Linked DNA regions of Pelodiscus sinensis. The protein of the gene in region 3 binds, or shares a complex with, the protein of the main gene of each other region. Links are inferred from orthologs where the notes say so. Each region holds a gene or a part of one and is shown on either strand. Other genes may lie near its edges.

What was found.
Region 1: TERT (region 3) and WRAP53 share a complex: the UniProt entries of both Homo sapiens proteins name them as parts of the telomerase holoenzyme complex. The link is inferred for Pelodiscus sinensis from reciprocal best matches to the Homo sapiens genes TERT and WRAP53.
Region 2: TERT (region 3) and NOP10 share a complex: the UniProt entries of both Homo sapiens proteins name them as parts of the telomerase holoenzyme complex. The link is inferred for Pelodiscus sinensis from reciprocal best matches to the Homo sapiens genes TERT and NOP10.

The regions. Positions count from the first base shown.
Region 1 is NC_134734.1:10,097,498-10,105,006, forward strand, and holds the start of WRAP53 (telomerase Cajal body protein 1), read left to right. Parts: upstream 1-4,413; 5' UTR 4,414-4,538; exon of another isoform or gene 4,539-4,621; intron 4,622-4,721; exon of another isoform or gene 4,722-5,054; intron 5,055-5,190; 5' UTR 5,191-5,302; coding exon 5,303-5,508; intron 5,509-5,786; coding exon 5,787-5,885; intron 5,886-6,303; coding exon 6,304-6,412; intron 6,413-6,861; coding exon 6,862-6,950; intron 6,951-7,169; coding exon 7,170-7,260; intron 7,261-7,376; coding exon 7,377-7,509. Other genes in the region: uncharacterized protein LOC102454093, read left to right, coding at 1-97, 999-1,098, 2,196-2,243, 2,498-2,616, 2,953-3,094, 3,285-3,394. UniProt on the Homo sapiens protein: RNA chaperone that plays a key role in telomere maintenance and RNA localization to Cajal bodies. Specifically recognizes and binds the Cajal body box (CAB box) present in both small Cajal body RNAs (scaRNAs) and telomerase RNA template component (TERC).
Region 2 is NC_134740.1:2,572,967-2,580,202, forward strand, and holds NOP10 (H/ACA ribonucleoprotein complex subunit 3), read right to left. Parts: upstream 2,607-7,236; 5' UTR 2,502-2,606; coding exon 2,448-2,501; intron 864-2,447; coding exon 723-863; 3' UTR 574-722; downstream 1-573. Other genes in the region: NUTM1 (NUT family member 1), read left to right, coding at 4,365-4,804, 5,406-5,534, 5,610-5,746, 6,424-6,695. UniProt on the Homo sapiens protein: Required for ribosome biogenesis and telomere maintenance. Part of the H/ACA small nucleolar ribonucleoprotein (H/ACA snoRNP) complex, which catalyzes pseudouridylation of rRNA.
Region 3 is NC_134712.1:139,865,592-139,873,491, forward strand, and holds the start of TERT (telomerase reverse transcriptase), read right to left. Parts: upstream 3,046-7,900; 5' UTR 2,569-3,045; coding exon 2,332-2,568; intron 1-2,331. UniProt on the Homo sapiens protein: Telomerase is a ribonucleoprotein enzyme essential for the replication of chromosome termini in most eukaryotes. Active in progenitor and cancer cells. Inactive, or very low activity, in normal somatic cells.

The DNA.
Region 1 (7,509 bases), on a different chromosome or scaffold from region 3:
GGCCAGCCTTGGGGCCCTGCGGGGGGAGCTGGCCCGGCTGCGGGGGGAGCTGGCGGCTGCCAGGAGAGGAGAGACCCAATCCCCAGAAGTGACTCAGGTGAGGACCCCCCCCCCGATTCACAGGGGGCCCTATGAGAGCAAGGGAGTCAAGTGGTTACATGGGGGGGGGAGGACTCCTGGATTCTCTCCCCGGCTCTGGGAGAGGAGTGGGGGCTGCTGGTTAGAGGGGGGGTTGGGTGCCAGGACTGGGTTCTCTCCCCGGCCCTAGGAGGGGGCATCTTACCAGGGAAAATCCGAGGCGCTGCTTTGCTTTCGCTCTCCCCTTATTCTCCACGAGGGAAGACCCCAGAAGGGTTAAAAAACTGAGGGTCCCCCCCATTGGGGTGGGCGCGGGGCTGGGGGACATGCGAAGCCGCAAACGCAAAGCCCGGACCGATCGTTAGCGCGGGCGGAGGAGGAGGAAACGACCCACAGCTCTGGGAAACCCCGCGAGGGGGAGGGGAAGGCTCCCAGCCCCCACTCCTGTCCACGATCTGCTGAGAGAACTCAGGCGCCCTGGCTCCCCGCCCACCCTCTGCTAAGATCAACCGGCCCCCACCGCCTCCCAGAGCCGGGGAGGGAACCCAGGCCCAGGCCGCCCCCCGACCCCCTCCCCGGGCCCCTGCACATTGTGTAACTGCCCTGCAGGTCTGGGTAATCTTTACAGAGCTGAACAGCGGCCTCGCTTCCTTAGTTCCACTTCCAACGAGCATTGCCCAGCTACACCCACATCCGGGAGGGGCGTGGGGACAGCTGGAGCAGGAGGGCTGGGAGCCAGGACTCCCGGGTGCTCTGCTCGGGTCGGGGAAGGGAGTGGGGGCTGGTGGGTTAGAGCAGGAGGGCAGGGTGCCAGGACTCCTGTGGGTTCTCTCCACAGCTCTGGGAAGGGAGTGGCGTGTAGGAGTTAGAGCAATAGCTCTGTTCCGGGGTTAACCCTCTCCTGTCCGTCGTTCTTTCAGGAGTCCGGGGAGCCAGGCCTGCTCCTGGGGACCCTGTTGCGGCAAAGAGGGAAGAGGTTCTCCGAGAACTCAAGGGACCAGGACCAGCGACAGCCACATAGTCAGTGTCTGGGGCTGGCGGGAGGCAAGAGGGAGGAAGGGACAAGGGGCTGCAGCTGTCAATCTATGTGTGTGTGTCCTCTTCTCCCTGGCTGTGTCTACATTGGCATCCCTTTCCGGAAAAGGGATGCTAATGAGACACTTTGGAATTGCAAATCCGCGGGGGATTTAAATATCCCTCGCAGCATTTGCATATACATGGCTGCCGCTTTTTTCTGGCTCGGGGTTTTTGCCGGAGAAAAGCGCCAGTATAGACGCAATTCTCCGGAAAATAAGCCCTTTTCCGGAAGATCCCTTATTCCTACTTTCAAGTAGGAATAAGGGATCCTCCGGCAAAAACCCCGAGCCGGAAAAAAGCGGCAGCCGTGTAAATGCAAATACCGCGGGGGATATTTAAATCCCCCGCGGATTTGCAATTCCGAAGTGTCTCATTAGCATCCCTTTTCCAGAAAGGGATGCCAATGTAGACACAGCCCCTGTGTGCAGAAGATGGGACACAGATAGAGCCTCTCCTCTCTAAGGACCACCATCTCCCATCCAGCCCCTAGGGCAGGGACTGACTGCGGGGGGGGGGGGGGGAGGACGAGAGAATGGAAAGTAACAAACTCAGGGAGGGAAGCACCACATGATGATCTCACCTCTCTTAATCTGGAGTCATCCCTGATGGCAGAGGTATCAGGCTTGGATTCTGCTTCCAATTCTTGACCTCAGGTCAATTTCTGGTAAGAGCTGTTACTCCCTGCTCCCACAGTGGAACCCCAAGCTGAGATGGTGGCAGAGATGGGATCCCTCACTGATTATCTCTGTGAAACTATGGACCTTGCGTGGTGCCGCCTGAGATGCTCTGGGGATAGTACCTAGCATTGAGGTTGGGCTGTAACCTGGCAGTTCTGGGGACACCAGACTTAAAGCCCTTTGGCTCACACTGCTTGGTGTGAGCAGTGGGATCAAGTGCCACCTGGTAGGGCTGTTTAAGTTCCCAGTGGCAGATCCAAGCTTTGGCAGCCTAGGGTAAAGGAGAGCAAACAGAGAGGAAGGGCAGGTTATGGGGAGGGAAATTGGCAAGTCACAGTCTCTCTCTCTCCAACTTATCCCCAGGGAAACGATCGGTTCTGCATCTGGCCCCCAGCCACTGCTCCACCAATGGTGAGTCATCAACCCCCTCAACACCCTACCACAGTACCCTCCTTCTATGGGTGACCCACACTGAAAATCAAGACTCCTGGGTTCTCTCCCTGGCTCTGGGAGAGGTGTAGGGGCTGGTGGGTTAGAGCAGGAGGGAGCTGGGAGCCAGCACTCCTAGGTTTTCTCCTGTCCCAGGAGGGGAGCTGGCTCCAACAGGGTAGATCAGGAGGAGCTGGGAGCAAAGGGGCACTAACAGCCTCCCATCTGCTTTGCAGACGAAGGGGACATGACTGAGATCTGGTGGCAGCCTTTCCTGCAGCAGGGCCAGGCACTGGAAATCAGTGGCCCAGACATCACTGTGAAGAAGACGGGTTTGTACCTCATCTACAGCCAGGTAAAAGCCCCCTGCTATGGGGGACAGCCCCAAACTCCATTGCCCACCCCTGAGCCAGCAATCCCTACCTTGGGACTGGATGGGAGCCAGCACCACCTAGAGGGAATAGGCCCTGTACTCCATTGCCCACCCCGTGGGCCAGCCAATCCTTGCCTTGGGGCTGGATGGGCGCCAGCATCACCTAGAGGGGACAGGCCCCATGCCCCATTGCCTGCTCCCCTGAGCCAGCCATTTCCTGCCCTGGTGTCAGATGGGAACTGGCACCCCCCTGAGGTGACAAGTCCCCTGCCCCATTCCCCAGTGACAGCCAATCCAATCCTCTCCCCTGCCCCCCAGGTGCTGTTCCATGACCCTACATTCACCATGGGGCAGGTGCTGTGGCGGGCACCACTCGGAGGCCCGGGGCAGATCCTGCTGCGCTGTGTGCAGAGCATGCCCCGTGAGCTGGAGCAAGCCTACAACAGTTGTTACAGCGCAGGTGAGGGAATCCTGGCATTGGGAGGCAGGCTCCAGCTATTGGGGGTGCAGGGCAAGGACCACTGGGGGGGGGCAAGTGGGAAAAAGGGAGAAGCAGCCACTGGGGGAGTGATTTACAGGGAATGGGGAGATCTGTCCCTGAGCAGGTTGGGAGGTGGGCTCTCCACACACATCCCATAATGTCCCCCCAGGTGTTTTCCAACTCCAGCGCGGAGACCGACTAAGCCTTCGCATCCCTCGAGCCAATGCATCCCTGGACCTTAGCCCCCATGGGACCTTCCTGGGCCTATTCCGCCTGTAGGGCCCACCCATGAGACCCAGGCATCCAGAGAGCTGCAGAGGGATTTGGCCAGGATGGGCAGAACTTAGACACTGGTGTCCAGGGAGCTGCAGAGGAATTCAGCCACCAGAGATTCAGGAGCCAAACCTCCCATCAGGAGTGTGTGAAAGGGGTTCATCACCAGAGGGCAGCAGAACTCCACCCTGGCCAACAGGGGCCGCTGACAAGCACACCTGCCCTGAAACAAACCAATACAACTAAGGAAACTCCAGGCAAAAAAAAACTTTGTGAAGGTTGCAAATGGAGTTTGCATCATGGAGGCCTTTGAACAATCCTGGCAACGGTGGGGCTGGAGGCCAGAACTTCTGGGACCTGAGAAGGGAGTGGGGACTAGAAGTGGGGCAGGGGAGGAGGGAGGCTTGGAGCCAGGACTCCTGGGTTCTCATCTGGCTTTTGTACAAAATCCAAGGCCACAGAGATGCCTGGCAGCCACATGGGTACAGCACAAACAGTGCTAGCCCAGGTGGCTTGACCAGCCTGGAAGGAAGCCAGGCATCTGGGAAGTAGCTGAGGAACTGGGCTGGTTTGTAAGAAAGGGACCCAGGCATCTGGGGAGCTGCTGAGGGACTCAGGCATCCTGAGGGAAAGGATCCAGGCAGCTGTGGAGGGACTCAGCCGGCCTGGGAGAAAGGGACTCAAGCATCCGGAGAGCTGCAGTGGCACCTTAGAAGATCCCCCCACCCCCACTGTTACAGTCCCAGGTTGGAGCTGGGACTGGGGGGCTCTCTCCTGTTGGCTTGTTACCTGCTAATAAAACAATTATTGCACGTTACCAATGTCTCCCCCCAAAGGGGATGCTGCATGGCCCCCAGGCCTATGTCCCCCGCGCCAACCACCCTCCCTCCCAGCCAAGCCCCCGCACGCCCTGATCCAGCTGCCCCGCAGTCCGGATAGACACACCCCAGCCGCCCTCCACCTCCATTGGGCCACATACGGGGCTCGGCTCAGGGGCTGAGATCTCGCGGGATTTCAGTGGGGGGCGTGGGAGCTAATGGTTCGGATCCTGTAGCGTTTCCGGGCACCTCTCGCGAGATGTGTGCGAGGGGGCGGGGTCTCCTGCTACTATGGCCGCCGTCAGCCCTTGAGCTTCTGGTGCTGCTGGGAGGTAACGGCGGAGCCCCGAAGATAGTGTGTTCTTCCACGCCCTCCCGCAAAGAGTGGACTATTCCACCTCCCTCCGCCCCAGGAGTGAGTGGGCTGTTCCATCCTCCTCCCTCCCGCCCGAGGAAGAATGGGCTCTTTCACCCTCCCCCTCCCTAAGGGAGTGGGCTCTTCCAGACGTCCCCGGGAAAAAGTGGACCTTCCCGCGGGGCCTCCGTATGGGAAAGATTGGGCTCTTCCACCAACCCATTTCCCCTAGTCCCACGAAATAGCTGGACTCTTCCATCCTCCTCACCCCAGGACAAAGTGTACTCTTCCACCTATCCTTCCCTCCACCGGAGAGAGTGGGCTATTCCACCCCCCCCCCGAGAATAGTTTCTTCCATGCATTCCGCGCTCCCCTAGACAGTGGGTTCTTCCATCCAGCCATTCCTCTCCCCTCCCCCGTCCCATCGTGGGTAAGAGCCGGGAACTTGGAGACACCTGGTCTTGGAGGCGGGGCTGGGAGCCAGGACTCAAAGGTTCGCTCCCCAACTCTGGGAGGGGAGTGGGGGCTGGTGGTTGGAGCAGGGGGGTTGGGAGCCAGGACAGCTGGGTTCTTTCCCAGGCTCTGGCAGTTGCTCTGCACCATTAACTCTTTCTCGCCTGGCTCTGCAGGTGCCCGTCCTGCGCTCTGGGAATGACTGACTCCCCAGGCACCCTGGGCAGCTCCAGCTGGAGCCAGAAGACGGACATCCCTGAGCGCTCTGCCAGCTGAACCCTCTGTGCTATGGAGCCGGGCATGCCCGGTGATACTGTGGATGACCCCACTGGAGGGGACCCCGGGTCCCAAGCGTTGCCTGCCAAGCTGGCCAGGCAGAACAGCTCCCCCCCAGTATCTGCGCCAGAGCGGGTGCAGAGTGAGGGGCCGGCAGAGGACGGGGATGAAGCGGTGGAGGATGGAGGGCAAGAAGCGGCATGGGAAGACGAGGGCTAGTAAGGACCTGGTGACAAGTGGGGCCCCACACATACAGCTGCTGATCTTGGATCTCAGCGGCACGGGGAGCATCTGGTTCTGATTGTGGGGGCTGAGCTGGGGAGGGGTGTTTTGAGCTGCTGTGTGAACCAGAGACTAGCTCATTAAAACTGGGGGTAAGGGCTGGGAGCCAGGACGTCTGGGTTCTGGCTCTGAGGGCAGTGGGAGCTGCTTGAGTTAGAGCAGGTGTCCTGGGCTTCCTTTGTACCAGTGTCTTCCTCTCTTTTCCCCCTCCCAGCCTTCCAGGCTATGAGTTCTTGGCTCCCCCCAAGCTGTTGACAGGCGCTTGGGGCGAATACAGCCAGGTGCCAGAGAACTTCCTGAAGGGCTGCAAGTGGTAGGTGGCTGGGCTGGGGCCTGGGGAAGGGTAGATATCTGGGGACTCTGCCCTGGGATTGGAGGCCCCTGGAGGGCTGTGGGTGGCATAGCACCCCCTCGTGGAAATAGGCTACTCTCAGTGCAGCACAGAGCCCCAAAATTGTTTCCTCTAACTCCCTGGACTGGGACCCCCTTGTGTTGGTTGCTGGGCAGGGCTGAGGGCTTCCCACAATGGGATGGGTGCTGCTCATACCCTCAGTACAGAAGAGTGAGTGGGGAAACTGAGGCACAGGGAATTTCTAGCCGAGCATTGGGCAGGGACTAGAGGCTGGTGGGTTAGAGCAGTGGGGGCTGGGATCCAGGACTTCTGGGTTTTCTCCCCAGCTCTAGGGCAGAGGGGTCACCCTGATGGCCTGGCTCTGCCTTCCTCTCTCCAGGGCCCCAGATGGCTCCTGTCTCCTGACCAACAGCGCTGATCACACCCTGCGCATTTACAACCTGCCCGTGGAGCTGTACGGCCCGGAGTGGGGGGACGTGGCTGAGATGGTAGGAGGGAGGGGCACTGCTGGGGAGTGGGGCAGGAGGAGCTTGTCGAGGGAGAGTTGCTCCCTGTGGGGGTGGGATTGTGCTGGTTCCATGGGTGTGTGGGTGGGGGACAGCCTCTAAATGGAGGGCCCCCCGCCATAGCTGTCCTGGCAGGCAGGATGGGGCTAGTCAGCTGGTAAAGGGGCTGGGGTGTTCCCCCAAATTGTAGTCTGCTCGTGGCTTACATGTCTGAAGAATTAAAATCTCTTGCTCCCCCACCAGCCTGAATTCCCCTCCCAGAGATAAGAAGAGAACCCATGAGTCCTGGCTCCCAGCCCCCTGCTCTAACCACTAGTCCTCACTCCCCAGAACCAGGAGTTCTGGCTCTGTTTGTTCTCTCTTGCCCCACCATGCCGTGATGCACCTTTTGCTGCCTGACTGTCCATATCTGTGTGTCTGTCTCCTCCCAGAGTCCTGTGCTGCGAATGGCTGAGGGAGACACCGTTTATGACTATTGCTGGTTCCCGCTGATGAGCTCTGCGGATCCCCCCACCTGCTTGTAAATGCTGCAGCCTGCAAAGGGCGTCCCCTACTGACGGGCTGTCTACCCCACTGCACTGAGAGAGAGTGCAAGCCTTTCTCATCAGGCCCTGGGCAGGGACTGTCTGGCCCAAGGGGGCGGGGAATGGGACATGTGGCCTGTCCACACTCTGGAGCGCTGGCTCCACCATTGTCCCCCTGTCCTGCACACTCATGTTTCCCGCTTGTGATCCTGCAGCTTTGCCAGCAGCAGCCGAGACAACCCCATCCATGTGTGGGACGCTTTCCATGGGGAACTGCGGGCCACGTTCCGCTGCTACAACCACCTGGTGGGTACAGAGCCTGGTTCCCATTTCCTGTGCTCTAACTACTAGGCCTCAACCCCTCCCGGAGCCAAGGTAGAACTCAGGAGTCCTGACACCTCTCTCTGTGCATCTGTCCCCAGGATGAGCTAACAGCCGCTCACTCTCTGTGCTTCACCCCCGACGGCTCCCAGCTGTTCTGTGGGTTTGACAAGGCTGTGCGGGTGTTCGACACGGAGCGCCCGGGGCGCATGTGCGAGAGCCGTCCAACATTTG
Region 2 (7,236 bases), on a different chromosome or scaffold from region 3:
CTGAACACCAGCACAGGCTCTCCAATGCAGGAATGGGGGGGAGGGGGCACGGAGTCTCAGGGGCTGGATCCAAGTAAGCTGGGGGCCACATCCGGCCCTCAGTCTCCCCCCCAGTTTCGAATGACCACTGACAAGGGCCAAATTGGTTCCTGCTTCCAGATCTACTCCCAAAAGCCCCCCACTGTTCCTATCAACCTCACCAGGGGCGGATAAGTCCCTGCTCTCTGCCCCACACCTTCCCCTGCTGGCTGACCCATCCCGAACCACGTGAGAGATCCCCTAGCGCCGTGGTACGAGTGGGAAGTCCAGGGGGTACCTCCCCACAGCTGAAATTTGGAGAAAACTGAATGTTTGCTTTAAGTTTTACAGCACTTTATTCTTTTGGTACTTTTTACACCCAAAAATCTCATCGCCCGCCCGGCTACGATGAAGTTGTTTAAACAAATGTGTTGCAATGGTGAAACCAAGTGGCCTGGCAGCAGCACCTCCAGACAGGTCAATTAGGAATGATTTGGGGGTGTTCCCTGGCAGGCCAGACCAGGAAACGGGAAGGAGCAAACCAGACAGATGATGTGGGATCAAGACAATTTATTTGCTGCCAAGAGGAGCAGGGTTGTGGAGTCGGAGGCTAGACACAGGCGAGGGTCCCGGCGGCAGCGGGGGGCCGGCTTCGGGGAGGAGCCTGGCCCCATCTCGGCTCAGCGGTGGTGCCGGCGGACGGCTCAGAGGACGGCCTGCGGCTGCTGCGTCATCAGGACCCCGAAGCGCTTCTTGATGGTGATGCGGTGGCGGGAGTACTTGTCATCCGGGGAGAAGCGGGCGGGGTGGGCGGAGCAGGTCGGCTGGCCCGTGGGGTCCACTTTCTGCCAGGGAGAAAGGGACAGGATGTGTGAAAGCAACCGGGGCCAGACCCATCGTCCCTGGCTAGCCCGGTTCTGCTCCCTGCCCCACAGCAGTGCCGATGCCCCTCATTCCCGACCCCCTGCCCCCTCCAGCCTTGCCAGTGCCCCTCGCTCCTGATCCTCTGCCCCCAGCCCTGCCAGTGCCCTTCACTCCCGCCCCACAGCCCCTGCCCCCAGCCCTGCCAGTGCCCCTCACTCCCGCCCCACAGCCCCTGCCCCCCCAGCCCTGCAGGTGCCCCTCACTCCCGCCCCACAGCCCCTACCCCCAGCCCTGCCAGTGCCCTTCACTCCCGCCCCACAGCCCCTGCCCCCAGACCTGCATGTGCCCCTCACTCCCGCCCCACAGCCCCTACCCCCAGCCCTGCCAGTGCCCCTCACTCCCGCCCCACAGCCCCTACCCCCAGCCCTGCCAGTGCCCCTCACTCCCGCCCCACAGCCCCTGCCCCCAGCCCTGCATGTGCCCCTCACTCCCGCCCCACAGCCCCTACCCCCAGCCCTGCCAGTGCCCTTCACTCCCGCCCCACAGCCCCTGCCCTGCATGTGCCCCTCACTCCCGCCCCACAGCCTCTACCCCCAGCCCTGCCAGTGCCCCTCACTCCCACCCCACAGCCCCTACCCCCAGCCCTGCCAGTGCCCCTCACTCCCGCCCCACAGCCCCTGCCCCCAGCCCTGCATGTGCCCCTCACTCCCGCCCCACAGCCCCTACCCCCAGCCCTGCATGTGCCCCTCACTCCCGCCCCACAGCCCCTACCCCCAGCCCTGCCAGTGCCCCTCACTCCCGCCCCACAGCCCCTGCCCCCCCAGCCCTGCAGGTGTCCCCCTATCTCGCCCCTCAGCCCCGCCCCCCCAGTCCTGCCAGTGCCCCTCACTCCCGCCCCACAGCCCCTGCCCCCCAGCCCTGCAGGTGCCCCTCACTCCCGCCCCCCAGCCCCTGCCCTCCAGCCCTGCAGGTGCCCCTCACTCCCGCCCCACAGCCCCTGCCCCTCCAGTCCTGCCGGTGTTCCTCCCTCCCCCCCCACAGTCCCTGCCCCCCAGCCCTGCACGTGCCCCTCACTCCCGCCCCACAGCCCCTACCCCCAGCCCTGCACGTGCCCCTCACTCCCGCCCCACAGCCCCTGCCCCCCAGCCCTGCAGGTGCCCCTCACTCCCGCCCCCCAGCCCCTGCCCCCCAGCCCTGCAGGTGCCCCTCACTCCCGCCCCACAGCCCCTGCCCCTCCAGTCCTGCCGGTGCCCCTCACTCCCGCCCCACAGCCCCTGCCCTCCAGCCCTGCAGGTGTTCCTCCCTCCCCCCCCCCCCAGTCCCTGCCCCCCAGGCCTGTCGGTGTTCCTCCCTCCCGCCCCACAGCCCCTGCCCCTCCAGCCCTGCAGGTGCCCCTCACTCCCGCCCCACAGTCCCTGCCCCCCCAGTCCTGCCGGTGTTCCTCCCTGCCCCCCAGCCCTGTCGGTGCTCCTCCCTCCCGCCCCCAGGGTGCTGCCCTGCAGAGCAGGCGGGGCGCACGCCGCTCCCGCGGATCCGGATTCGCTCCCCTTGGGGGGGGGTCCCACCTTGAGGGTGTAAACCCGCTCGCCCTGCGCGTTGAGGTAGAACTGCAGGAACATGCTGCGGCCCCAGCGCCCCGCGCCACGTGCGTAGAACCCGGCGGGCAGCTGGCGGAAGGGCGGCCGCAGGGCACGCTGGGAGCTGTAGTGCGCTCTGGCCCCAAGAACGCGCCGGGCGTTCCAGGGCGCTCTACCCCCAGTGCATGCTGGGAGTTGTAGTGCGCTCTGGCCCCAATGCATGCTGGGAGTTGTAGTGCGCTCTGGCCCCAATGCATGCTGGGAGTTGTAGTGTGCTCTGGCCCCAATGCATGCTGGGAGTTGCAGTGCTCTCTAGCCTTAACAAAAGACAGGACTATGTAGCACTTTAAAGACTAACAAGATGGTTTATTAGGGGATGAGCTTTCCTGGGCCAGACCCACTTCCTCAGATCAAATAGTGGAAGAAAATTGTCACAACCCTATATACCAAAGGATACAATTAAAAAAAATGAACACATTTGAAAAGGACAAATGACATTTCAGAACAGAAGGAGGTTGGGGGGGAGGGCTAATGATATTAGAGGTGATAATTGGGGAAGCTATCTTTGTAATGAGTAAGATAATTAGAGTCTTTATTCAAACTTAGGCGTAAAGTGTCGAATTTAAGCATGAATGACAGTTCAGAGGATTTTCTTTCAAGCATGGTCTTAAAAGGCCTTTGAAGCAGGATGCAGGTAATCAAGTTGTTGAGGCAGTGTCCTTTCTGGTTGAAATGGCAAGAAACGGTTTTTTCTTTGTGATCCTGTCTGATATCTGTTTTGTGGGCATTGATCCTCAGAAGTGTCTGAGACGTTTGTCCAATGTATATAGCAGACGGACACTTTTGGCACATGATAGCATAAATTGTATTTCTGGATGCGCAGGAATATGTGTTCTTGATCTTATAACGCCGTCTGCTATGTGCATTGGACAAACGTCTCAGACGCTTCGGCAAAGGATCAATGCCCACAAAACAGATATCAGACAGGATCACAAAGAAAAAAACGTGGCTCAAATTGCGTCTCTTTTTCTGAGTTTAGGGTGCTGCGTAGACGCACCCTGAGAGGCAGGTCTGACGGCGGTAAACGGACTTAATGGGACAGCGGGAAACTTGGCCACGCCCAAGTGGACACCCAGCTAACTCAAATGCTGCCAGACCATGGCTGTTGCTGGAACAGAGTGTGCCGGACTAGAGAGGTTCAGCCTGTATGCACATTGGGGGTAGTTTTGCCAGGTGTCTCCTATTGGCCCGCACAGTCCGGTATTTGCAGTGTCTGTCCAGTTAAAAAAAACAAGAAAATACCTGTTTTTCTCGGACAGAAGGCTGCTTGGGACTTTCTTCCCCTGCCACGTTCGGTATTTTTGGTGAAACTCTCTGGCAACCCTAACTGGGGGCAAGCGGGAATGTAGCTAAAATGTAGCGTTACGCAGTGCAACGTGCCTCAGTGTACCTCGCCGGCCATCCGGACTAACTTGCGGAAAGGAACAGCCTAGCGTACGACTGTGTTTTGCCCTGTATCATCGGTGACGGGGTGGGACTGTTCTCCAGCATAGAAGGGGCGTGGCCTTGAGTTGGAGGGGCGGGGTCTCGGGAGAGGGGCGGGGCTCAGAGCCAGCCTCCCCAGGGTGGGATTGACAGGCACCAGGAAAGTTGGAGGGGTGGAAGTGGGCGGAGGGGGGGGATTGAGGGGCCCTGGTAGAGCGGGTGCAGGGGAACCCCAGGATCGGGCTCGGAACCCCCCCCCCAGCTCAGAACTCCCGATGTCTCTGGATTCCGGAATTGTTTTCATTCGACCCGGCACCTGGGAGCAAGAGGGGGGGGGAGTTTCCCATCAGCCCTTGCTCTCCGACAGGGGGGGCTGCTGACATCCTCTGCAAAGGGACCCCGTGCACCCCCATCCCCGCCATGAGCGCCCCGCCGCCCCCCCTCCTGCTGCCCACCTTCCCTGGCGCCGCCCTGCTCCTGACCTCGCCCGACGCCCCCGGGGGCAAACTCATCGTGAAGCTGAAGCCCGAGGGGGGCCCGGAGTCGGCCCGGGCCCAGACCATCATCCTGACAGGGGCGCCAGCAGGCTGGGGCCCCCCGCGACGGGACGGGGCCCCCCTCCGGCTCCAGCTGGCCGCCGGGATCCGCACCGTGCTGCTGAGCAAGGCTGGGGAGGAGCTGGGCCCCAGGGAGGCCCCCCCGGCGGCCCCAGCCCGGGCGCCCCCCGCCAGCGACCCCTCGGCCTCCTGCACCTCCAAGGGCGTCTACGAGAACTATCGGCGCTGGCAGCGCTACAAGGCCCTGGCCCGGCGGCACCACCCGGGCACGCCCGACGCCGAGGCCCTGGCTTGCTTCTTCATGTGAGAGCCGGGCTGTGGGGCTGAGTGAGGGGCACCGGCAGGGCTGGGGGGCAGGGGCTGAGGGAGCGAGGGGCACTGGCAGGGCTGGGGGAGTAGGGGTTGTGGGGCAGGAGAGAGGGGCAGTGCTGGGGGAGCAGGGACCATGCAGCGGGAGCAAGGGGCACCAGGAAGGCTGGGGGGCAGGAGTGTGGGGCAGGGCTGGGGGGTAGGGACTGCAGGATGAGAACGAGGGGCACCCGCAGGGCTAGGGGTCAGGAGCTGTGGGTCAGGAGCGAGGGGCACCAGCTGGGCTGGGGGGCAGGGGCTTTGGGTTTGGAGTGCAGGGAGAGGCAGGGCTGGGGGGCAGGGGCTTTGGGTTTGGAGTGCGGGGAGGGGCAGGGCTGGGGGGCAGGGGCTTTGGGTTTGGAGTGCGGGGAGGGGCAGGGCTGGGGGGCAGGGGCTTTGGGTTTGGAGTGCGGGGAGGGGCAGGGCTGGGGGGCCGGGGCTTTGGGTTTGGAGTGCGGGGAGGGGCAGGGCTGTGGGGCCGGGGCACAGGGCGGGAGCGAGGAATAGGGCTGGGGGGCAGGAGCAAGAGGCTCCCCTCAGCGCTGCCGCCCCCCAGCCCCGTGCTGCGGTCGCTGGGCCGGCTGCGCCCCGAGCTGGCGCCGGAGGAGGGGGTGCCGCGGGCCGTGCAGGAGTGGGAGCGCAGCAGCAACTTCGAGCGCATGATCTTCTACGAGATGGCCGAGAAGTGAGTGTCCCCCCCACGGGGCCGCCCCAGGGACCCCCCCCCCCCCGCCCCAGCCTGACCCCTCCTCTTCCTCAGGTTCATGGAGTTTGAGGCCGAAGAGGAGCTGCAGATCCAGAAAATGAAACTCCTGAGCAGCTCCCAGTTCCAGCCCCTCCCCGCCGAGCCCCCCAATCTCCCCGGCCCAGCAGGCCCCGACGCCGGCCAGCAGCAAGGTACCCCCCAAAGGCCGGTAGGGGAGGGAAAACCCCACTTCCCGCCAGCCCACGGGCCGATCTGCCCCTCCTCCCCCTGTTTTTCTTTTGGCACGAGCCTTTCACTTTTGCACGTTTTTTCACACCCCTTCGCACGGCTTTTGCACAGACCCAGCACATTTGCACCCGTGCGGGGTTTTTTCCCTCTCCATAGCACCTTGGACCTTTTTCCCCCCCCTTTTTTTCTGTACATACCGAGCACTCGGGCTCGATTCTTGCCCACGCCTGAGACCTACCTGCTTTTTTGCACAGAATCTGCACGTCCTCGCACGTGCCCTTTGATGCTTTTTGCACGGACCTAGAACGTTTGCACTTTTCAGATCTACCTGGAATCTTTGCCCCCTGAGACTTGGCCCCAGTGGGTGCACCCTGCCTGCTTTTGCACCTACCCAGAATCCTTGCACAATGGTTCACACCCCATCGGCATTTGCACGTGATTTTTTTTCGCACGTGTGCGTGTTTTATTTTTGCTCCCACCGAGCACTTGTGCACACACCGAGAACCTTGCACGCACCCACAAAACCCGTGTACGTTTCCCCCCGTGCAGGATTTTGGGCTGGGTGGAAGGTCTCCAGGACTGGGGGTGCACAGGAGTGTCCCCCTCCGGTCCCTGCATGGTGTCTCCCCTTCCCCGGCAGTGTACATCCCCAAGAAAGCCGCATCCAAGGGGCGCCAGCCGCGCCGCCGCCAGCGCCGCCCGCCTGGCCCGCCGGCCGCGGGGGAGCCGCGGGAGATCCCGCCGGAAGCTGTGCGGCAGTACGCTGAGATCATGGAGGGGCTCCGGCCCGGCTGGGAGGAGGAGGCGGGGGGGCACGGCGAGCCCCAGAGCCCGGCCCCCGGGGCGTTGCCGGACCCGGCGCTGCTGCCGTACGTCGAGCAGCTCTGCGCGGACGAGAGCTTCGTCTGCAAGGTGCGTGCGTCCACCGGGGGGCGCCACATTCCCACCCCCAGGGCCCTCAGGGCCCAGCACCCAGGGCACACAGACCGGGGCAGGGGAGGGGACCCAGGTGTCCGGGAGGGTCCCAGGCCCCAGGGGGAAGAGAGCAGGAGAGGGGAGGGGACCCAGGCATCCGGGACGGTCCCAGGTCCCAGGGGGAAGAGAGCAGGACAGGGGAGGGGACCCAGGTGTCCGGGAGGGTCCCAGGCCCCAGGGGGAAGAGAGCAGGACAGGGGAGGGGACCCAGCTGTCCGAGAGGGTCCCAGGCCCCAGGGGGGAAGAGAGCAGGACAGGGGAGGGGACCCAGGCGTCCGGGACGGTCCCAGGTCCCAGGAGGAAGAGAGCAGGACAGGGGAGGGGACCCAGGCATCCGGGACGGTCCCAGGTCCCAGGGGGAAGAGAGCAGGACAGGGGAGGGGACCCAGGTGTCCGGGAGGGTCCCAGGCCCCAGGGGGAAGAGAGCAGGACAGGGGAGGGGACCCAGGCATCCGGGACAGTCCCAGGTCCCAGGGGG
Region 3 (7,900 bases):
TCAAGGGTTTTTTGCATTTGGATGGTTGCAGTGTACCACCCAAAGTCAGGGAACGTTTGGGGAAGTGTTAAAAAACAAACAAACAAACAAAAACCACAGAAGCCTCTAGTGGCAGGGTATTTTTAAGATTTCTTGTGGGTCCCCACCTACTGCATTCAAAGTGCCAGAGTGGGAAACCGCATTGACATGGTGGCAGAGGTGGAATAATTTTGAACCAGGAACACAGAACTCAATTTTAAAAGGATGCTTTTTCCCCCCCTTTTGACTATTTGAAAGTTTAGGGATTTTTTTTCTTTTACTGCCTGCGGGGAAAAAAGGCTCACAGAAAGTTCAACTTGCAAAGCCAGTGATCCAAACCAAATTATTTTTTTTATAGCTTTCAGGGCAACTGAAGCTACAGAAGGGCCAGAAAATAGCCTAGTGCTCATATTTGCAGTTGGGCAGAGTAGCCCAGGAGCAACCAATCTCGACAAAACAGCCAAACGAGATCAGGGCCAGATGTTCATCTCCAAGGCAGAGCTGCACAGTGAAAATAAGGATGGATGTCATTGAAGGGCCAGAGGGGAGTAACCTCAAAGGGCAAGGAACAGATGGTGGCGGTCATGTTCCTCCCATATCACAGAACCTGTTTTAATTCAAATCTCTCACTCTCTTCCCATTGGCTCTCCTGGCTCCCTGATAACACTTCCTGGAGACCCACTGTCTTTGGGTTTAACCCTTTACAGGCAATTTAATTAATAGAATGGCTGATATGTCTAGAAAAGATCTCTTGTGGATACCCCTTCCATCCATCACAAGCTCTAATTAAACAAAAATTACGGTTTCTTTTTCAATGTTTAGATCCGGGATGGGGAACCTCCAGCATGGTAGCCAGATGCGGCCCGCCAGGCACTTTGTTTATGTGAGTGTCTGCAGGCACGGCCACTCGCAGCTCCAGTGGCCACAGTTCACCGTTCCTGTCCAATAGGAGCTGCGGGAAGTGGTGTAACCCACACACCTAATGTGGTTACTAAGCAGTGCAAGTGGTACCTAGACCACAGCAACAGTTAAGCTCAAGAGACCTCTACAGCTGGGGCTGAGAGCCAGCTGGCTTTTAGCTCCCAAGGTAGAGGCTCCTATACTCCGCGTCAGAGATCCCAGGTTCAAATCCACACAGTGGCAGTTACAGTGACACAGCTTCCTGAAGCTCCTATTGGCTGGGAATGTCAAACTACAGCCACTAGGAGCTGTGAGCAGCCATGTGGACACTCAGGAAAACAATGCATTTGGTGGCCCACCAAGCTAACCCTGGTGAATTGCCCACAGGCCAGAGGTTCCCTGTCCCTGGTTTTGATGGTAGCATAGAGGCTGCACTTCCCAAAACTGGGCCACTTTGGTCCGGCAACATCCGTGGTTCAGTGCCAGAGAGCCCTGGGGCTTGGAGTCTCGTGGCAGGAGGGCTTGTGGCAGTAAAACTGAGGCCGGCAGGGCTTGGGGGCCAGACGGCCAGGGCAGAGTGCCCAGCCAGGCTATAGGCAGGGGCCAATGGCCCGGCCAGGCTAGAGGCAGGGGGGCAGCCAGGGTGGAAACATAACCTGCAGTAGGGAAGGGCCAGCAGCCCAGCTGGGCTAGAGACAGTGGGGGATGGCCAGGGCAGAAGTGGAGGCAGTGGGGGGTGACAGGGCTGGTGGCAGGCAACCTCTCCTGGTCCAGCAAATTTCCCTCTTTTTGGACCAGGGAGGGCCAACCCGAACAAGGAAAACATAAAGGCATGGAACCATATGAATGTAATCTTACATTTAACCCTCACTCTCATCTAGCTGCAGCCTAGGAGCCTGGTGACACGTGCTCATCCATCACCATCAGGGGAGGGAAGAACCACCCCGCTGCAGGGCTTGTGGCAGAAGAAGCTAAGATTCAGCCCGACCCCCCCCCCGCTCCCTCCCTCCCCCCCCAGGGCCAAGCGATTACCTGGCCCCACACGGAAAAGTAAACATCTGAGTGGCTGCTGTCTTACAAGACAATGTGCAGGCTCTAACTCGCACGCAAGCCCAGGCGCGGGAGACAAGCGAGAGGAAAGCACCGAGACAGAAGAGCGAGCATAGGCAGCCCGCGCGGGGCACTGCAGCCTCGCTCTTTCCATGGGAAGAGGAGAAAAGGCAGCGGAGCGCCCCTTCCTGCTCTGGAACTAGCCTCTGCTCCGCAAAAGCAAGGTCAGTCCGCAGCCGGGGCAAGCAGCCGGGAACTATTCGCGCCGCCAAAGCATAAGGCTTGCGATGGAGGCAGCAAGTGCCCCGTGAGGCACGCCAGCCCTACAGCCCCCTCCCCAGTCGCCGCCGCCGCCGCAAGTACCTGCTGGAAGGAGACAGGCTGGGGGATGGCTCTGGCTCCCCGGGGGACGCACACCACGCACTGGGCCACGAACGCCTGGTACAGCTCGGAGTCTCCCTGCTGCAGCAGCTCAGCGTGGCCCGGCCCGCACGCTGCCGCCTCCCGGAGCCTCTGCACGAACCGCTCGAGCCCCAGCACTTCAGCGTAGCAGCCCTCCAGCATGGCCAGCACGGCACGGAACGGCCCGGCGCCCGCCATGCTTCTGGAGCCGGGCAGCGCAGCGGCGCTAATGGCTCCGAGAGGCTCGCGCCTCGCCCGCCGCCGCCGCCGCCGCTGCTGCTGCTGCTGCACCTCGCGCGTTCCCCGGGCCGAGAGCAGCTGCGGGCGCGGCGCGCTCCCCCGGGCCCGGGTCCAACAGGAAACCCCAGGTGCCCTCGGCTCCAGTAAGTGCTCGCACTGCGCGCAAGGCCTGCACGAGCCCCCATGGAAGGGCCGCCCTTACCCCGCGCGCCGGAGCCCCCCCCCGCCCCCAGGAGCTGGAACGGGAGGGGAGGGGGGCGCTATGCAGGAGCTGAGATGGAGGGCGGGCTAGGGGCTGGGCTGGAGGAAGGTGCTGCGTGTGTGGCAGTAAACTGCTCCCACAAGCTCTTTGTCTCACAGTAAGAGGTAGGGTTGCAGCCCAGCAAAACATGTAGAGGGCAGCATGAGCTTTCCTGGGCATAACCCACATCTTCAGGTGAAAGAAGTAGGTTGTGCCCACGAAAGCTCAGGTACCATCTCCAGGTGGTGTTAGTCTCACAGGTGCCACAAGACTATTTAAGTTTTTCCAGTGATAGAAATGTAGCCGTGTTAGTCTGGGGTAGCTGAAGCAAAATGCAGAACAATGTAGCACTTTAAAGACTAACAAGATGGTTTATTAGATGATGAGCTTTCGTGGGCCAGACCCACCCACGAAAGCTCATCATCTAATAAACCATCTTGTTAGTCTTTAAAGTGCTACATTGTCCTGCATTTTGCTTAAGTTTTTCCAGTTACAGACCTGCTCCGCTATCCCTCTGATGCTTTTCAACTTCCCTGCAGGTTCATGTAAACCAGGACATTCCCAAATAGTGGTGTTATCCCGCAGCCACACTGCCAGGTTTGGTTAGCCCATGTTAGGTCAATGTACAGCCACCAACTTTTGTGTAAGGCTTGCGCACATGCCTACTTGGGCATTTGTGGTCATCACACATGAATGATTGCCTCAGTGGTGCAGCATCACCCGTAAGTATCTCATTGTGCCTCAGGCTGCCACCTGGCTCCATGTGTTGTGCTATACTTGTGATTTACCAATGGATTAGTGGGAGCTGAAAGTCATGTTCACACAGGGCCATTAACTCCCACTGTCCAGTGTACCACAGCACTCTGGCGGAAACAGGGACCCTGTGCTGAACAGTTCTCTTGAGTTTTGCTAATGCAGAATCATGATGCATGATTCTCCTAAGTTGCAGAACTTGAACAAGTACTATTACAACCTAGGGTTAGCACATGTCTAGGTTTTCCTGGACCCCTTTATTGCCTCTTAATTGAAAAAAAAATGTGCCTGAACAAAGGAGAGAGGATCTAAAAAGAAGACACTAAGGCTGTGTCTACCCGGCCACGTGTTCTTGCACAAGTAAACTGACGTTCTACTGTATGAAATCAGAGTTTCTTACACGAGAACTCTGATGCTCCCTCTCAGGAAGAAGCTCTCTTGTGCAAGAGCTCTTCCAGAAGAGGCCAGTGTAGACAAGCAACATGAATTTCTTGAGCAAGAAGCCCCTTTGGTTAAAATGGCCATCAGAGCTTTCTTGCAAAGAGAAAGTCCACATTGCCATGGATGCTCTTGCGCAAAAGCACATCTCTTGCACAGAAACACATGCCAGTGTAGACACGCTCTTGTGGAAGACTTTTTGTGCAAGAAGTCTTCCGCAAAACAGTTCTTGTGGAAGAAGCTGCCAGTGTAGATGTAGCCTAGAAAGAGCCCATTCTGTGCCCCCATTGGTCCATTCCCAAGCAGGCCTGCACTGATGCATTAATTGACAGCATTATCCAGGTCCTAGGGTTTCACTAGCTACTTTCCTACAAAGAACAATATTGACCTCCCACACCAGATGTAATAATATCCCTGTGGTGGGAAAAATACCTCAGCAGCCCAACACTAGCATTTAATTTCAGAAAGGGGAACTACACAAACAAGGAGGTTAAACAGAAATTAAAAGGTACAGTTATAAAAGTAAAAGCTCTGCAAGCTGCATGGAAACTTTTAAAAGACACCATAGCACCAGGCCCAACTTAAAAGTATAACCCAAATTAAAAAACGCAGTAAGGCTATGTCTACACTATGAGTTTTGCTGAAAAAGGCAATTCAAAATGAAGTGCGGATTAGCATTTTCTCACGCTTCATTTTCATAATCTTCTGATCCGTTTTTGCGCAAGGAGTTTTTGTGCAAAAACAAGCAGTGTGGACATTTCCTTTTTACGCAAGATCTTTATACCTCCTTTTTTGAGGCATAAGGATCTTGTGCAAAAAGGGGGTTTTTCCACAAAAAGGAAACATCCACCCTGCTTGCTTTTGTGCAAAAACGGTTCGGAAAAGATTATGCAAATGAAGCACGAGAAAATACTAATCTGTGCTTCATTTGCATTGCCTCTTTCGGCTAAACTCAGTGTAGACATAGCCTCAGAGAACCAAAAACGTGTTGCTGTGGCTTAACAACCAGTAAAAGAATCAGTGAAATAGACATCTTTTAAAAAGTGGAAGTCAAATCCTAGTGGGAAAAATAGAAAGGAGCATAAACTTTGTCAAATTAAGTGTAAAAATATAAGAAAAGCCAAAACGGAGTTTGAAGAACAGCTAACTAAAAACTAATAGTAAAATGTTTAAGTACATCAGAAGCAGGAAGCCTGCTTAACCAGTTGAGTCCCTGGAAGATCAAGATGCTAAAGTAATTGCAGAGAAGCTAAATGAATTATTTAATTCAGAGATCCCCAAACCTGAGCCATTCTTTTTAGGTGACAAATCTGAGGAATTTTCCCAGATTGAGGTGTCATTAGAAAAGGTTTTGGAAAAAATCTGATAAACAGTAACAAGTCACCAGGACCAAATGGCATTCACCCTTGAGTTCTGAAAGAACTCAAATGGGAAATTGCAGAACTATTAACTGGTTTGTAACCTATCCTTCTGTACCTAATGATTGGAAGATAGCTAACGTGACGCCAATATTTAAAAAGGGCTCTAGAGGTGATCCTGGCAAAATCTAATGTCAGTACCAGACAAATTAGTTGAAACTATAGTAAAAAAATGAAATTGTCAGACACGTGGATGAACATAATTTGTTGGGGGAAGTCAACATGGTTTCTGTGAAGGGAAATAATGCGTTACTAATCTACTAGAGTTCTTTGAGAGGGTCAACACACATGTGGACAAAGGGGATCCAGTAGATATAGTGTACTTAGATTTCCAGAAAGCCTTTGACAAGATACCTCAGCCTCACCAAAGGCTCTTCAGTAAAATAAGTTGTCATGGGATAAGAGGGAAGGTCCGGACTAGTAATTGGTTAAAAGACAAGAAACAAAGGGTAGGAATAAATGGTAAGATTTCAGAGTGGAGAGCGATAACTAATGGAGCCCCCGAGGGTCTGCCCTGGGACCAATCCTATTCAATTTATTTATAAATGATCTAGAGAAAGGGATAAACAGTGAGGTGACAAAATTTGCATATGATACCAAACTGCTCAAGATAGTTAAGACCAAAGCAGACTGTGAAGAGCTTCAAAATGATCTCACCGCACTAAGTGATTGGGCAACAAAATGGCAAATGCAATGAAATGTTGATAAATGTAAAATAATTCACATTGGAAAAAATAATCCCAACTATACATACAATATGATGGGGACTAATTTAGCTACAGTTACTCAAGAGAGAGATCTTTGGAGTCATTGTGGATAGTTCCCTGAAAAACATACATTCAGTGTGCAGTGGCAGTCAAAAGTAACTAGAAAGTTAGGAATCATTAAAAAAAAAGAGAACATCTTATTGCTTCTATATAAAACCATGGTACACCCACATCTTGAATACTGAGTACAGCTGTGGTCGCCTCATCTCAAAAGAAATATGGGCATTGGAAAAGGTTCAGAAAAAGGCAACAAAAATTATTAGGGGTTTGAATGGGTCCTATGTGAAGAGAGATTAAAAAGACTTGGACTTTTCAGCTTAGAAAAGAGGTGACTAAGGGGGGATATGATAGAGGTCTATAAAATCATTACTTTGTTGTAGAAGGAGTGAGTAAGGAAAAGTTATTTACTTATTCCCACAATGAAAGAACTAGGGGTCGCCAAATGAAATTAATAGGAAGCAGGTTTAAAACAAACAAAAGGAAGTTTTCCTTTACTCAGTGCACAATCTGTGGAACTCCTTGCCGGAGGATGTGGTGAAGACTAGGATTTTAACAGGGTTAAAAAAAGAGCTAGATTCATGGAGGTTAGGTCCATCAATGGACATATTAGCTAGGATGGGTAGGAACCTTGTCCCTAGCCTCTGTTTATCTGGAAATGGATGACAGGAGAGGGATCACGTGATGAAGACCTGATTTTACCAAAAGAGAGCTTTGCAGAAAGAGAAAAGAAACTGGAATCTCTGATAGCTGACCCTCAGTCTTAGGCATCCATATATATAGTGTTTTACAAAAAACACCAAACATGGCAGGAAAAGAATTGGTTGAGCAAAAAAGAAAAAAAGAAAGAACCAAAAGTTAAAACAAAAAACCCCACCCCCCCAAAAAGACCAAAAAATAAGAGTCATGGACCCTTTGAATTCCTGCACTCCCCTGCTCCCACCAGACACAGCGGGGGAAGAATGTCCCAAGCAGCCTTCAATCCGAGAAAAACAGAAAATACCGTATATTTTACATGTCTGGTATTTTCAGGGTTTTTTTTTAAACCAGACAAAAGCCACAAATACCGACCGGACACCTGGCAACCCTATACATAGACCTCCTATGATCTTCCAGGACACAAGAATCAAATCATCACCTTAAAAAGGGTGCTTTTATTAAAACAAAAAGATATACTTGACTCCCTGGGATGCTTATGTGAAGGGGAAAGGAGTCCAGGAGAGCTGGCAGTATTTTAAAGAAGCCTTATTAAAAAGGCACAGGAAGAAACCATCCCCATGCACAGTAAGAAAAGCACATATGGTAGGCAACCAGATTGGCTTAAAGGGGACATCCTTGGTGAGCTTAAACACAAAAAGGAAGCTTACAAGAAGTGGAAACTTGGACAGATGACAAGGGAGGAGTATAAATATATTGCTCAAGAATGCAGGGAAGGCAAAAGCACAACTGGAATTGCAGCTAGCAAGGGATTTGAAGGGTAACAAGAAAAGCTTCTACAGGCATGTTAGCAATAAGAGTGATCAGAGAGGGTGTTGAGCCCTTACTGGATGAGGGAGGAAACCTAGTGACAAATGATGTTGGAAAAGCTCAAGTACTTGATGCTTTCTTTGCCTCTGTCTTCACAGACAAGGTCAGCTCCCAGACTAATGCACTAGGCAATGCACTATGGGAAGGAG